Linked DNA regions of Drosophila melanogaster. Changing the gene in region 3 together with the main gene of any one other region gives a genetic interaction. Each region holds a gene or a part of one and is shown on either strand. Other genes may lie near its edges. The genes, in order: Cds, rdgB and Pis.

Region 1 (6,185 bases), on a different chromosome or scaffold from region 3:
CACATGAATATAACTCCTCAGACTGTGGACTCGTATCAAGGATTGGAAAAGGATGTGATAATAATTTCAAATGCCAGGACACGCGGCTGTGGCTTTCTAACGAACTATCAGCGACTTAATGTGGCGCTGACCAGACCGCGTCGTTGTCTAGTCATATGTGGCAATTTTGAAGATCTAAAAGTCAGTATCCAGATTTAATTGAAATAAAACATGTTTTTTATGAACTTTTCTTAATTTTGTAGTCTGTTGAAATGTGGCGCAACCTTCTCGATGATGCTCGCAAGAGGAAAGTTTACTTCAATTTGGACCGCGATGATGTGAACGACCTAGACCGTTCCTTAATCAAAAAGATGATGGTGAATACTATCAACTTAATTTAGGGGACACAACGTTCCCTATTAGTTAATGAGATTAAAACTACCTTTTAGATGCTAAGATATCACAAGTGCCATGGAAGAGAAGCGCTTCCCACATTGTTTAAAAAAAGGCTTTGTTATTTTTATATATATTTAACATAGAGACTGTAAGATTTAATATTGAAATCTTTGTACATTTAGTTCTTTAAAACGCCGACGAATTGCATTTTCGTTCTTAAATGCCGTACAGTATAACAGGATTTATAAGTAACCGATTATATATCATCTATGTACTTTTTGAGAAAGATTCACGGGTTGAGGATGTTGCACTATGCATGGCGTAGTGTATGACCGAATAAAAGTAAATAAATAAATATTGAAATGGTTAAATCAATTATTTAACGTCTGCATATTGCACTATTATATATAGAATTACAGCATTGCAAGAGTTTTCCTGGTATCTTGATCTCATAATTTCGTCCCTCAGGTATTTAACTAAAATGCGCTTTAATTATGCTAATCTCCAGATTCTGGCGTTGTCTGCCTGATCATCTCTAAGCTATAGTTATCGTAATTAAATTCACTAACAACACGCACACACACATAGTCGATATTAAATTCATAGTTATTCTGTTTGCCTTGCCTTGACGCCTTGTCACGAGGGCATTAAAATTAATGGAATCGCTTAACAATACGATTGCACTGTGTAGAGTTCTGCCAAATAAAACAATCGCAATAACTTAATGCAAGATAAAATAAAAACTAACTTAAGAATTTAACTAAAATGTAGCAACAAAATCTAACTAAGGACTAATAACATAACAAAAATTATGCCCGTAATTAACTTATTTTATGTGGCTGCTCAAACTGCCGGCCCGTTTGCTTACAGATATATATCAATGTATATATATAGAAATTTCTGCATTACATATAGAACGTACGACTCAGCAAACGTCTTGTCCGAATCTTACTGGTAACCGATCAAGTTTAGGTTAACATGTCGCCCAAGTTGTCCTTGAGGGACTGATAAATTTGGTATTGTTGATCTGGCTTAAGGTTGTAAATCTGTGTCAGCAGCTTAGCCGGCGACGGAGTTCTGATGAAGCTGGATATATAAACGTTAACGAAGGTCGCCATAAGAAACTGACAATCGAAACGATCCATAATGCCGCCATGTCCGGGTATCATGTCGCCAAAGTCCTGCAAAACAAGATGGTGTGTTGCGTTACATTGAAAAGACCTGTGTTCCGAAAAGATTACTTACCTTAATTTTGAAAGCTCTCTTAAATCCAGAGGCAAAGAAGCCACCAAAGGGTCCAATAATGGAACTAAACAGGCTCAGGGAGATCGAGTGCCAGATAAAGGGGTAAAGATTTAGAGTCTTGCCAATGCCAAACTGGAAATGAAAAAAATTATTACTGTAGCTATCAGCACAACAAATCGGTAACCCATAACTCCATAGAAATACATTATCACTTACCAATTTAAGGCTGTATTCCTGGGGCGTGAACAAATAGCTTGGCACACAGGACATTGTCATGCGTCCCTGTTCCTCCGAGTACTGGATGGGACAGATAAAGTACTGGTAGTTGCACAGCACATACGAGAACAGAATGCCAAAGAGGACGGTGGCGAAGCCACCCCCGATGAAGCCCTCCCAGGTCTTCTTGGGGCTGAGCTTGATGAGGGGAGTGCGCCCAAAGAAGAAACCGAACACGTACGCCATGACATCATTGCACACTATCATCGAAACAGGTACGATGAACCAAATGAGCCCCTCAAATATATTCTGTATGATGAGGTAACTCTGGGTGACGACAATCAGCAGGGATACATGGGTCCAGGCAAACAGGCTGAATTGTTTGATGTAATACTTCTTCACCAGTGAGAGCACGAACCAAACGAACCCGATGATGTACAGGGCGAAGGAAAGGAACCGGTGATAGGTCACCAGGAACTTCAGATATTCCTGTAGATGAAATTGCATATTTACCAGGCGATATAATCAGGTTATTGTATTATTTACTGACCACCCGATTAATTACAACGCCAAAGTAGTCTACCAGATTCTCTCCGTAAAAGAAGTAATTTGAGGTAAGCAGGAAATACCAGGAAAGGCTTCGGAACCAGGGCAAGCCATGAATTCGATAAACCTGGTAGCCAATCGAGATGATCTCCTGGAAGCACTTCACCTGCACCAGTAACGTCTGCAAAGAGAAAGTAGGACAACGATTATTTGAAGACTCGTTTAAGCGAATTCCATTAAACCTACCGTGATCATCAAGGCCAGCGGTCCACCATAGATGATCAATGCGAAGCCGCAGATCATAATCCATGTGAAGATGCCGCGAATCACCCAGTTCTTCCATCTGTGGAATGCGCAAAAAATAATTGTTTGTAATTGTACATATTTACTTTTAATATTTGCTCGCCAACTGTAGACAGCTGTGGATATGGATTATTTTTGGAACGCACTCATACTCATTCTGTCGGATTTATAAAATTCGCACTTCAATAAAATATTTTTTGAATCATCAATTCCAAATCGACCTTTAGCTATTCATCATGATCTTTAAAGATCCCAACTACGCATATGGATTTGTTTCACATACCTATCCGGCAGATCCTTGAGGGCCGAGTCCAATATCTCGGGCGTTTTGTCGGTTCCCTGCGGCAGATTCTTGGCCAGTTCGTCGACGAACTTCTCCTCGGGAATCTTCTCTTCCTCGGAGTCCACCTGGCAGGAGGAGGAGCAAGGGAAAGGGAAAATTCACTTATTGATTGCATTGGCTGGGACTGCAAAGTAGGTTTCCTATCAGATTCGATACGACCGGAGTGCAGGGTTTAAATACTTTCTATTGGACGACGCCGAGCAAAGTCCATGATACGTGTATGTATGTGCCTATATACCCATAATCAGAATCACTCGTTTATCCAATACACAGGCACATAAAATAGAGAGGGGAACCAAGTGGGGAGAAAAATTGCGGGTTTTTTTGGGTGGCGTGTTTTGTTGCCAAATAGCTTGGTTGATAAGGAGGCATTATCACCCAGCAATAACAAAAAAAGTCCAAGCCAGAAAGGGAGTCTGGTCATGGTAATGGTTTCGGCTCTGGGTTCTTGGCCCAGTGCTTCCCTAATTGGCGTAGTCCATCTAATTGGATTTGCTGGTCATAATGGCGCTATATTGCAACACAGCAGGTGGGTGGTTGGGTGGCAGGCAGGCTGGCTGGCTAGTGGTGTGTTTTGTGTTTGTTATTGGATTTTCTCCAGGAGAGAGCTCTCTCTTCTTTCTCCCACCTGCTTGTGCGTCAGAGAATAACAAAAACACATAGCCACACACATTTGTTGGTATACACACATTGGCTTTTCTATGCTCCAAGAATTATGCAAATTGGTGTCCGGAACAGCTGCCGCTCGGCTGCTCCACATACAAGTCATTGCTACTTACATGGTCCGAGGAGTCGGCGGCGGAGTTGCGCTTATTGGCTGCGTCAGATCCGGAGATGGCCGTGTCCTCCAGTGGCTCATCCTCGCCCTTCCTGCGTCGCACTTCGGCCATTATTCGATGTTCGCCAGATCTATTCACAATGTATTGATTCCTATTGATTCCGCTTGAGCAGTTCTCGTCCGTGTTCCGCTCTCCGCGTTTGCCGTTTGCCGTGACCCGTGCTGCGTGATCCGTATGTCGACTTCGTCCGAATTAAAATGCTTTTCTCTATTTCTGATTAGCCCAGCATGCAGTGTGCCCAGCTTGCGCAAAGTGGGCTGGTGGAGCAAAAGTGTTGGCAAGTATGCTCAATTGCTGTTAGGTTTTACAAGTTGACTTTTCGGACAGAAAATGTTTGATGTCTTTTAAAAGAACTTTCTTTTTCTGTGCAATTAACGGTGACTTTTGTCGTAATATGTAAAATAAAATATATTAATAATACTAGAAAAGTTAATTTAAGTGATAATAAGAGTCACCCATATCAGCCATCCCTGGTAGAGAATATCCGTAGCTTTATACGTTTCCCAACACCTGCACCGGCGGCGTCACTTTTCTCGGCTTTTCCGTATCGCAATTTTGCAATTTTCTCGCCAAAAATAAGAAAAAGGAAAACGTAAATTCAGAAAATGGCAGCAGCTATCAATGGTGTTTTCCCACCCACATTGCAGGAGCTGGTAAAGAAGTCCAAGGTGCTGGTCGTGGGCGCCGGCGGAATCGGCTGCGAGGTGCTCAAAAACCTTGTGCTTAGCGGCTTTACAGACATCGAAATTGTAAGTTTTTTCGAAAAAAGTATTCCATATTATTAATTTATAAACGTTACCCAGATCGATCTGGACACAATTGATCTTAGCAACTTGAACCGACAGTTCCTATTCCATCGCGAGCACGTTGGAAAATCTAAGGCACGGGTGGCTAGGGAAAGCGCACTGAGCTTCAATCCGGACGCTAAGATAACCGCTTACCACGACAGTGTAACATCGTAAGTTGGGATAGCTTTGCCTTTACATCTTGCTAACAACACATACCTTTTAGTACTGATTATGGCGTCAACTTCTTTAAGAAGTTCGATTTGGTGCTCAGCGCCTTGGACAACAGGGCCGCCAGGAATCATGTAAATCGCATGTGCCTCAATGCGGATGTCCCGCTGATCGAGAGCGGCACCGCCGGCTACAATGGCCAGGTGGAACTGATCAAGCGTGGACTCACCCAGTGCTACGAGTGCACTCCAAAAGACAAACAGCGAAGCTTCCCGGGCTGCACCATACGCAATACGCCCTCCGAACCGATTCACTGCATTGTCTGGGCCAAGCATCTCTTTAAGTGAGTATACCTAATAATTAGTCTAAATTGCAGCAAATCTATTGATTTATTTGCAGTCAACTGTTTGGTGAGTCCTTGGAAGATGAGGATATTTCTCCTGATGCTGCTGATCCCGATGCAAAAGAAAAAGACGGCGGCGATGGAAATGGCGAGCCCAAAGGCGATGGGAAGGAAAAAGGCGAAGAGTCAAAAGAGGAAAAGGAGGCCAAGGAGGATACTGCCAACGGCAACATAATGCGCATTAATACTCGCCAATGGGCCAAGGACTGCAACTATGATGCGGGCAAGCTGTTCAACAAGTTCTTTAACGAGGACATTACCTATTTGTTGCGTATGTCGAATTTGTGGAAGACCCGCAAGGCACCCGTGCCCGTGCAGTGGGATACCCTGCTGCCCGAAGGATCCTCCGGTGATCAGAAGGATGTGGCCAAGCAGCATCACAAGGTGTGGTCCATCGAGGAGTGCGCTCAGGTCTTTGCCAATTCATTAAAAGAGTTGAGCGCTAACTTCCTGAAACTCGAAGGCGACGATACTCTGGCTTGGGACAAGGACGACCAGCCAGCCATGGATTTCGTGGCGGCCTGCGCCAACGTGCGATCCCACATTTTCGACATTGAGCGAAAGTCAAGGTTCGAGATTAAGTCAATGGCGGGAAACATTATTCCTGCTATTGCCACCACAAATGCGATTACGGCGGGAATTTCCGTGATGCGGGCTTTCAAAGTGCTGGAGGCCAAGTGGGAGCAGTGCAAGGCCGTCTATGCCCGACTTAGACCAAATGCACGAAATCACTTCCTTGTACCGGACGCTTCTCTTCCTGGCCCCAATCCCAATTGCCATGTATGCGCCAGCGATCCGGCCATTACTCTCAAGATCGATACGAAGCGCATGCGTATAAAGGAGCTGCGTGACGAGGTCCTGGTTAAGACGCTCAACATGTTGAATCCGGATGTGACTGTGCAGAGCAATGGCTCCATTTTAATCTCCTCAGAGGAGGGCGAGACCGAATGCAATGACGG
Region 2 (4,724 bases), 1.9 Mb from region 3:
TGAAATTACTAAAAAGAAGCTTTTGATATATGTAATTATATTATGGCATAGTTTCATTAGTTTGTAGTTATATATGGTTTGATCCTAATAAGATCTGGATAGACATTGTTGGGGAAATGGGGGAGGGGGCGGGATGTTCTAGATGCTAAAATAAGAGGCACAATAAAGGAGGGCCGTCAATCAATAATTATTGGGCACAGCGGGCAGTGGGGGAAGGGGAAACGAACACAGACATGCACATGTTTATGTCATGGCAGTTACATGGCAGGCCGTAACGAATCGTAAGCCCCAACAATATGGCCACCGCTTTAGGCCCCCTTCCCCCTGCCATGCCACGCCCCCTTTTCGCCTAGCACTCTCCACCCCCCGTTAGCCTCCACACATCACCATTTTTCTGTTTTTTTTTTTTGCCTCCTTAGCATAATTACATTTTGTGACACAGAAAATGCGCCAACAGATTTTCTTTGCTACACTGGGTCAAAGGTTATCGAAAGTGTGTCCTATATATAAGAAAAACAGATAATTTCATAACGAAAACATGTATCTTCCACTGTTTTAAAGTTGTGAAACAACTTTTTTGGTGTAAAAAATTTCTGTTAAGCTAGCGAAAGTAACAATGTGCAGTTAGCACTATATGAAGAATGCTAGGTTTTGTTTACAACTGCAATTACTTTTCCCAATTTAATATTCATATGTATGTACATTTTTACGACTTTTAGAGAACACAAGTAAAGTTCATATAAGAAGAAAGCACCTGCAGTTAAAAGTGATAAGAAATGTTAATATTCACGATGAGAAAAAACTTTGCAGCGATAAGATTTATTACAATGGAGCTTCCTTTATGGGGCTTATAAAAAAATGGACATTATTTACGATTCGCTTAAAGTCTTCTTATTTGGCGGGGGGCATTCGAGAAATCTAGACTAGAAAACACCTTTTTTTTTAAATGATATAGCAGCCCGGAGATGAAAAAGCGGCCCACTGTGCATCAATAAACAAATTACAAACGCACACATGTGCTGGCTATAAAAGATCCGGCCAAAGTGCACGTAGCCTTCAATGTGGTTGTTTATGATGTATTTTGTCATTTAAAAAATTTTTGTTTATGATGTGACCAAAGGGTAAAGCAAGGGTATGCACACGGAGAAAAGTAAGAGCAATATCACAAATATTTTCATTCATTAATATTATTAAAATATATTAACACAATGCACATTTTATCCATGTCCACTCTGATATTTAAATTATTTTTAAGATTGCTTGATATACTTTTCTCTCCGTGTAAAATCATAAGATGAAGATGGGTAAAATTCCACGCTTTTATGCACAAAACCATTTTTGTTATTAAGTCTGCCAGACAGAAGCTCAAATAGTGAAAATAGAGGAAATAAATTTGCGCAATTGTTGCAACATCAAAAACGCCAAACTGATAAATAAATTGCCATGGTAATTGACCAAGCAATACAATAAAAAAAAAGGTGTAGAAAAATGTGCAAAAAAAGGTAATAAAACGAAGAAAAGCAACAACAACAGAAAACGCACTCAAGCGGAAATAAATGAACGCGAGACAGAGACAGAAATAGACGGGTTGGGATGCAAAGAAAGCAAAGGTTGAAAGAAAGCCTATTAAATCCGAGTCTCAAGTTTAGTGAGCTAAATTAGACGGAAAAGAGCAAGAAAAAAAGGTCACGTACTCTCTCTTTGGCTCTCACCCACTCTCCCCGTCTCGCTCACTCCTTCGTGCACACCTGTGGCACGCTTTGTGCTTATTAATAATTTATAAATACAATAAGCAGCAAAAATAAGAACACAACAAACGTATTTCTTGGGTTCATCTCAAAAAGGGCCTATATAATAATATTTATTTTGTACAAAGATATCTTTTATAGACTCATTTATGAAAAATGTACATTCCTAAAAATATTAATCATAGGAAATTCATAATTTCTAAGATTAAAGACTTTTTTTCAAAAACCAATGGTTATAAATTCCAGAGCAGTGCTTTCGAATAAATATTTTTATTTTTCATCTGAGTTAAGTTCCTATTTTTTTAGTATAATGAAATGTGTAAAAAATTATTTATGGAACATTAACCAAAAAAAGTTATTTTTTATGAACTCATAATGAAAACATTTCTAACAATATTATTCTTAAGAAATTTATCATTTTTAGATTAAAGCATTTTTTTAAAGAAATAGTTATAAATTAATATTTTTATTTTTAATTTGACTTAAATTCCTTAAAAAATACTTTAAAAAATCAATCATTAAGATGGCTATAAAAGACTTTTTAAAACGCTGAACTGTAATAAACTTTATCCGATTTATAAAAGTGCAAAAGTACCAAACATAACAAAACAAAGCTTTACGTGAAAATTACGCATGGAAAATTCTTATCACAGACTTGTTGTTGTTTGTAAAAGAGAGCAAAAGCGTGAAACAGGAAGAGCGGTGGGAGAGAGCTAACGGGACCTTGAGACCTGGCCACAGCCAACACACACACACTTACACAAACGCGACGCAGCTTACGCATTTACGCAGCTGCCACCCACACACACACACACACGACAACCGAAGTATCCTTAACTAATTTTACGAATTTTGTTGTAAACTATTCCATTTGTTACAAACAAAGGTGAAAAAAGAGCAGCAGTGGAAAACGTACCAACTTTCGGCGGGCCAACTCACATTATTATCATTGCGGGCAGCTGGACAATTAACAACAAAAGAGTAAGGTCCAAAGCGCAAAGGAGAAAAAAAAACAACGAACAACGCACAACAAAATATAAATATACAGTGGATATATGCTGACTCGATTGGGCGATTAATACAATTTATCTATTCATTTTCTTCGGGGCGCTTTTCCAGGCCGCAGATGAAAAATGTTTTCAGCGTTGTTGCTGCTTGCCTTGCGTTTGCTTATTTCTTTTTGCAATCAAAACGTACACACTGAAAAAAAAACAGCGTGCGCTGCGCGGCGGCAAAGTTGCGATTGCGACTCGGCTCGCGTTTGATTCCGAACTGAAGTAAGATGAACCAAACCGAAATGAACTGAACGGAACGCCGAACGCTGAACTGAACGAACGCCGAAAAGCAAACGAAGCTAAAGCAAAAGCAAAGCCAAGAGAAATGAGCGGAGAGAGCGAGGCGTTCCGAAAATGAGTATCACCGCAAAATCGCCAGACTCATAAAAAGTATACTAGTATATACATAAATACATATGTATGTATGTACATATTTGCAATCTGGATAATTTTTGCTTAGATATTAAAAAACTATTTCTACATTACATATACATACATGTTTTAAGTACATTTTAGAAAAGGACTATTTAAGGACTAATTAAATAACAAAAAAGTTAAAACGCCACCGTTTCTGAAAACGGTCAGTTCAGTTCTCAATTCTCAACTGACGATTCGCGGAAAACCCCTTACTTTATTTGTGCGCAACAAAAGCGCGCGAGAAAGCGTCACTCTCACTCTCTTTGCCTTTCTCTCCTTTTGCGGGGACACTCAGCTGGCTAGGCTGAAAAGGGGGGGTTTCGTAAATTGGATTTATGCATATCGGCCAATGAATAATATACAGTAATTTCTGCAAGAAACTCGGATGGCCAGAACCCCACAAAATGCCAACGTCCCGGCGTCCTTGTGCGCTCTCTTCTGGAGAAAAGCAGCGAGAGCAAGAGCTTGCCAAGCCCAAAAAGAAGAACAAACGCTGAAGGGCAAATAGTGAGAGAGAGAGAGAGAGAAGACGCTCTAAGTGTACGGTAAGAAGATAAGCTTAACGGCGCATTCCGTTCGGTCAGAGTCAAAGCAAACATGTCACGACATGCACAAACAAAAGACGCCAACTGTTGTCATTCCGCTCCTGTCACTCCAGCTCCCTATCTCGCTCTATTTTCGACTCTGCTGTTTTCGCTGCCCTTTCTAGTTTGTCTATTGCATTTGATAAAGTTCAACTTTGACATTTACACCGCGCATGTCCCAAAACTGTAAGGAACAATTGAGTTTACACAGGTTGCCCAGTGATTTTTGAACGAGTAGTCACTAACGATAAACCGAATGCAAATTTTAATTGAGTGCACATCAAATGGCAACGGACACTAGTTGCCTCACTCTCACTTCCGCCCACTCAATGCATCCATCTCCTTGTGCGTATTTCCATCCCAACTTCGCAATCCTGTTAAGCATCTAGGGTGCTAGTAAATACCAAGCTGCACAGTTTTCTAAATTTTGATTTTTATGAGTTATTCCTAATTTCTTTTCAGTTTATTTATTATCTACATTTTCTTTCGTGTACCTTTCATTAGGTATCATAATTGTATTTTAGGCACTTTTTGTTTGCTTTATTTATCGTGTTGTTTTTTGGTTAAGCATCTGCTTAAGATCACCTGTGATATATGCATTTATCTTTTTATTATTAGCTCATTTAAGTTGTTTGGCCGATTTACTATGTTAAATATGTATATTTTCGGAAATTTTTCTATTTACTTCAGAAGGGGTGCCTAAAAATGTGCCCAGCAAATTCTTGTGTGTGTTTTTTAATACCATAAAAGTTAGAATCCAATCCAGAATAACCATTGCTATTGCTATTAAAAAACTTGACTTTTCGAAAATTTGCAGCTTTTATTTTTATGGGATTTTATAGATTTTTCTTTTTTGATTGTTTGATGAAACTTCTAAGCTAAACTACGCATTCCGGGTTTTTATTTTCTGATTATCAGAA
Region 3 (4,598 bases):
TAATGTGAGTGTACGTACTTTTCCGCAAAAGAAGGATATCAAGTGGAAGTTACACAAGGTGGAAAAACAAGTGGAGAGTACCTTAATGCATTCACACGAACTATGTGATGCTGGCACATGTTGGGCAAGTATACCCGCCCAGGAACTTCATCCTAGACGCCTTACCAGGACGAAATCGCCAATGTACTCGAAGGTGCAGTGTGTGATTGCCGCGTAGGCCACCGTGTAGCGCATCAGGCGACCCAGACGGGAGAGGATTTTCATGTCGGCGATTCCGGCGTTGGCTGCTCCACATGCGCCCCTAATCAGAGCATCTCCCGTGTCCAACGACCTGGTATTCTCTCGAAAAAAGAGCTCCTCCAAAATCGAATGTTTATGTTGTGTAAAAATCAGGGCTGCACAGGCGGCGCAGCTGAGCGGCCAGCCAGGGATGTGCCAACGATAATTTTGATGTCTAACGATAAATTTTGTGTGGCGCAAATTTCAAAAATCGATGGCCCAAAAGGTTAAACTAAAATTTAGCGCATAGAACCACATATATTTATTTTCACTTTTCAATTTTGACTAAGTCTGCCAGGCCTGGCATGTATGGTACATATATGTTAATGTTTCAAATACATCTAACATCCATTTGTCGTATATATTTCATGCAGGTCTCCAATTACATTCTTTAACTTACGATTAGAAATACATTAGTTACATTGAGAGAGTTGCTGGGACAAGGTGGTTAGTCAAACCCAAAACGTGCACAGTGAGATAAATCCTGGAAATAGACACTCATTCATAGTATATCGGCCTGCATTTACGCATTGGCATATATATACATATATAGCGTGTAAACTACGCTAACTAAAGGCAAAATAAATATGCAACAGCTACTGACTGGAACGAATCGCTTAAATTTCAATTCAAAAATCTATTAAATACAAATTGTCGGGTGATTTCACCACCCGTCTAACTAAAATATATCAAATAAAATCAACAATCATTGCAATAGCGCATTAAAAATAAATTAAATTCCTACTACGGCCTATTTGGTTGCCTAATGCCCATATTTCATCTGATCGCAATTCGTCTTCAAAATTCTGTTTTTTTAGCTTGGAATCAAGAGTTGTTTCATTTAGTACTTTCTGTTGATAGAACTGTCGCTGGAAGATTGATCCCGGATCGCATCCCATTTTCACTCCACTTTCTTGCCGCTCACCGGCTCCGACTTCTGGCGCCGCTCCTGCCGCTCGCGTACATCCACGGCCGCCAGATCGATGCCCGCCACGTAGGCGTGCATCACCGAGATCAGGGCCTTGAGCACGGCAAAGGGACCCGTGAGGAAGGCGAGTATCTTGAAGAGCGATGCGCCGAATACTGCAATTGAAGTCCATCAACGGATTAGATACGTTTCGCCAGCTGAAATGCAAAGCATGTGCGTGTGCGTATACTCACTCAGCGGGCCGTAGGTGAAATGCAAGAGGTACAAGCACACGTAAAACAGCTCATTGACGCAGCACATGAATGTGAGTATGTCCTTCTGGTAATACAATCGCATTATGAAGTTGTCATTCACCTTGTGCGAGCTGCGTCCGACCACAACGCTCCTGCAAAAAGACAAAGCCACGAGTCATTAGTTTCCTTCCATTCCTTGACAGTCCAGACGTCCAGCATCTTGCTCTTTCCCCTGCCCCACTTACGTCTGCATGAAGAGCCAGTGACAGGCCACGTCGATGGCGATGGACAGCTGGAACCAGAACATGTACCGGGGATAGAAGTAGGCCAGGGTGACCAGTAGGCCGGTGGTGCCGCAGCGATCGGTCAACTGGTCTAGCATGGCGCCAAAGCGAGTGCCTGTGAGGTAATCGAGTATTTAGTAAAGATTCCATAGTACCATATGATAATTACTAATATTTTGATATACATATTTTGGTTGGAGTACCCTTTCGTTAAGACTCTAAATCATCCTGCTAGCATACAACAAATCCAAGTGCAAGATCATACCTTTCAGTTTGCTACACTACTATATCATAAACATTGCATGGTATCTGCAATTTGTTTCTTAGAAGGCTTCTATCCTAATGTTTTTCCTCCTATATTGCTAACTACATTGCATAGTTCCAAGGCAATATTAGCCATGCTTTCTATCTATTCTTCAGCCCCACGTCATCCATCGATTGGCTGGATAGCCGTGACCATATCGGGCTCTTTAGGGCGTGCCTACAATTCCACAATATCGGCAGATAACCAGTACGGAGGAGACAGGTGTTTGCAATGCGCTAGCGGCCAAAGTGCGCGCACAAATCAAATACAGACATATAGCTGGCATGAGCTGGCATTTCGATATCAAGGGCGATCGCATGGTTAATGCTTACTTTGGTTAAAGGCTCGGGCTGCTTGTCCATCGACGGCGTCCAGGAGGGCGGAGGTTACATAACACCAGCCGGAGATCACATAGTTGGTGGACATGAACCAGAAGGCGATCAGGGCCAGAACGATGCGGGCGTAGCCTGGAAAAGATCAATATAAATCAGCACATATGCGTGCATCATACGTATAGAATCATTGGAGGTGACTCAATTGGGTTGGACGAAGCGGCTCTTATCGCTGAACTTGCGCTTCGCATTGCACTAGCTGCCAAACAGCCCCTATTAATCCAATTAGGGAACACTAGAATCGCTATTATTGCGCCGCATAAATCGAACATGCGATTTGTTTACCTAGCTGGAGCACGGAATAAAACCTACAAACAGCCACTCACCGATCAGATTTGGCACAAAGATGAAGACGTTATCGTGCTCGGCAATTGTCATTTTGTTTCGCCACTTTGGTTTTTCGTTTATTTTGCGATCTTCTAGCTTTGCGGCTTGTTTTTATCCAATTAAATGCCAAAAGTGCTGCAGAAAAAACAGTGGAAACAGAATTTGCTGTATCTGGTGTGACCGCAGCGTGACCTTTGGAAAAAACAAACAAAGACTTGAGAGAAAATACCGAACTATACTGGCCAACAAGATTTCAGATGGTTTCCACTGACACACATCTGTTTCTAGTTTCTATTTTTCTCTTCCAATAGAAATTTAGTAATTAGTATATCATTTTAAATGTATCAAATACAAATTAAAGGTCACTAGATTATTAACATGAGCTACCAAAACCGGGCAACTAGTGTAGTTGCTTGTTAAATGAGTTTTGACAGCGATTTGCGTGCCGTTTTGATACATTTTCGCTGCCGTTGAGCAGTGTAAATGGATCTTTGCATACCGCTTCTAAGCTAGTATATTCCTCAGCGGGACATGGCATGGTCACACCGCCCGCGATAAAGTTTTCACAAATAATAATAAAAACACAATACAGGCGAAAATATAATGCACAAGTAGCGCGACCCGAAGTAACCTGCGCGGAGAACCACATGCTGTAGCATGGATAAACTCCGCGGCGGCAGTCTGGGCGGCGGCGGATCCTCCAGCGGCGCGCCATCGACGGCTCCGGGCCATGAGCACCACCAACTGGAGCAGTATCAGTACCCCAAAAACCTGATCGAGCAATATCTAAGGGCCTCCAGCAAGATCAAGAAGTTCGAGCGGGCCGGCTTCTTCAAGTGAGTAGCTACGGCCCAAGTATGGGCAATCAGATACCTTGCAGATCATTGCGTTTGATTAGCAAGTCATTGCCCAATTTATCGCTTTTCCTCCATCTTCAAACTATGTTTAGAAATACGGGTGTATTAGAAGCCCTCGAATCACGGAATACAATCTCAATACTCCACTGTTTCTCTAATTCCCAGACGCTTTGCGCCCAGCGTGGTCGATGTGCAGGCGGACTTCCAGCGACTGGCCTACAGCTTCGAGGAGTCGGGCATACAGCAGTATGCGGCCATGTGCCACATTGGCTATGCCAAGTGCGAGTCCTACGGCGGCGCACCGCAGCGCGAATCGGAGGCCTATCTGCGGGCAGCTAGATCCTTCCTAGCGGCGCACAACGAGTCCGGGCGACTGCATCTGCGCACCCGCCACTCGGGATTTCGGGAGGGAGCGGTGCACTGCTATCACCGTGCGGCGGATCGAGCGGTGGACGGTTGCGTCTTCAAGGCGGCCATTCTGCGCGAGTTGAAGCAGCTGCAGCGGCAGCTGGACAGCACCAGCAGCTTTGCCTCGCCCACCCATCAGATCCATGACCTGGAAATCAGCGCCGAAACGAGTGGCCAGCGCGGCGATTTTCGCAGTGCACTGCAGCATTACGACGACATTGTGGACAATGTTTACGAGCGACGCGGTGCTCGCATGTACGGTGAACTATTGCGGCGCGTTGAGGTGCTGCGTCTGCTGCTCCTAGTCCATTTGAACCTGCCTCCCGCACGCCAGTCACCCGCCCACATCAAGCTGATCGAGTACTACTACAACCTGGCGCAGTTCGAGTCGCTCCCCTGTTCGGCGGACGACGGTGGATCCGCGGAGCGTCCGGGAGCATTTGTGCCCGAACAGCAGCAGTATGCGCTGGCGGAGATTACGTGCGCCTGGGTGGAGCGTAAAATGTGCGATCTAAAGCACCTGCTGCGCGACTTTGGAGCCGAATTTGGATCGCTGAGCGACATGGAAAGGCAGCTGCTGGCGGTG

Evidence for each region.
Region 1: of Pis (region 3) and Cds, changing one suppresses a phenotype caused by changing the other (phenotypic suppression), as found in Drosophila melanogaster (2 studies listed by BioGRID).
Region 2: of Pis (region 3) and rdgB, changing one suppresses a phenotype caused by changing the other (phenotypic suppression), as found in Drosophila melanogaster (one study listed by BioGRID).

What each region holds. Positions count from the first base shown.
Region 1 is NT_037436.4:8,125,992-8,132,176, reverse strand, and holds Cds (CDP-diacylglycerol synthase), read right to left. Parts: upstream 4,416-6,185; 5' UTR 4,323-4,415; intron 4,249-4,322; 5' UTR 3,919-4,248; coding exon 3,808-3,918; intron 3,094-3,807; coding exon 2,969-3,093; intron 2,726-2,968; coding exon 2,629-2,725; intron 2,564-2,628; coding exon 2,387-2,563; intron 2,326-2,386; coding exon 1,837-2,325; intron 1,753-1,836; coding exon 1,621-1,752; intron 1,557-1,620; coding exon 1,344-1,556; 3' UTR 502-1,343; downstream 1-501. Other genes in the region: Setx (senataxin), read left to right, coding at 1-180, 243-380; Uba2 (Ubiquitin-like activating enzyme 2), read left to right, coding at 4,473-4,616, 4,671-4,825, 4,879-5,166, 5,223-6,185.
Region 2 is NC_004354.4:13,761,052-13,765,775, reverse strand, and holds the start of rdgB (retinal degeneration B), read right to left. Parts: upstream 3,025-4,724; 5' UTR 2,831-3,024; intron 2,708-2,830; exon of another isoform or gene 2,665-2,707; intron 1-2,664. UniProt on the Drosophila melanogaster protein: Catalyzes the transfer of phosphatidylinositol (PI) and phosphatidic acid (PA) between membranes. May control phosphatidylinositol concentration in transport vesicles from the subrhabdomeric cisternae (SRC) to the rhabdomere.
Region 3 is NC_004354.4:15,700,824-15,705,421, forward strand, and holds Pis (phosphatidylinositol synthase), read right to left. Parts: upstream 2,948-4,598; 5' UTR 2,799-2,947; coding exon 2,747-2,798; intron 2,496-2,746; coding exon 2,361-2,495; intron 2,265-2,360; coding exon of another isoform or gene 2,206-2,264; exon of another isoform or gene 1,990-2,205; intron 1,840-1,989; coding exon 1,686-1,839; intron 1,593-1,685; coding exon 1,441-1,592; intron 1,363-1,440; coding exon 1,181-1,362; 3' UTR 628-1,180; downstream 1-627. Other genes in the region: CG9240 (uncharacterized protein), read right to left, coding at 166-264; Hap40 (Huntingtin-associated protein 40 kDa), read left to right, coding at 3,405-3,583, 3,770-4,598. UniProt on the Drosophila melanogaster protein: Catalyzes the biosynthesis of phosphatidylinositol (PtdIns) as well as PtdIns:inositol exchange reaction. May thus act to reduce an excessive cellular PtdIns content.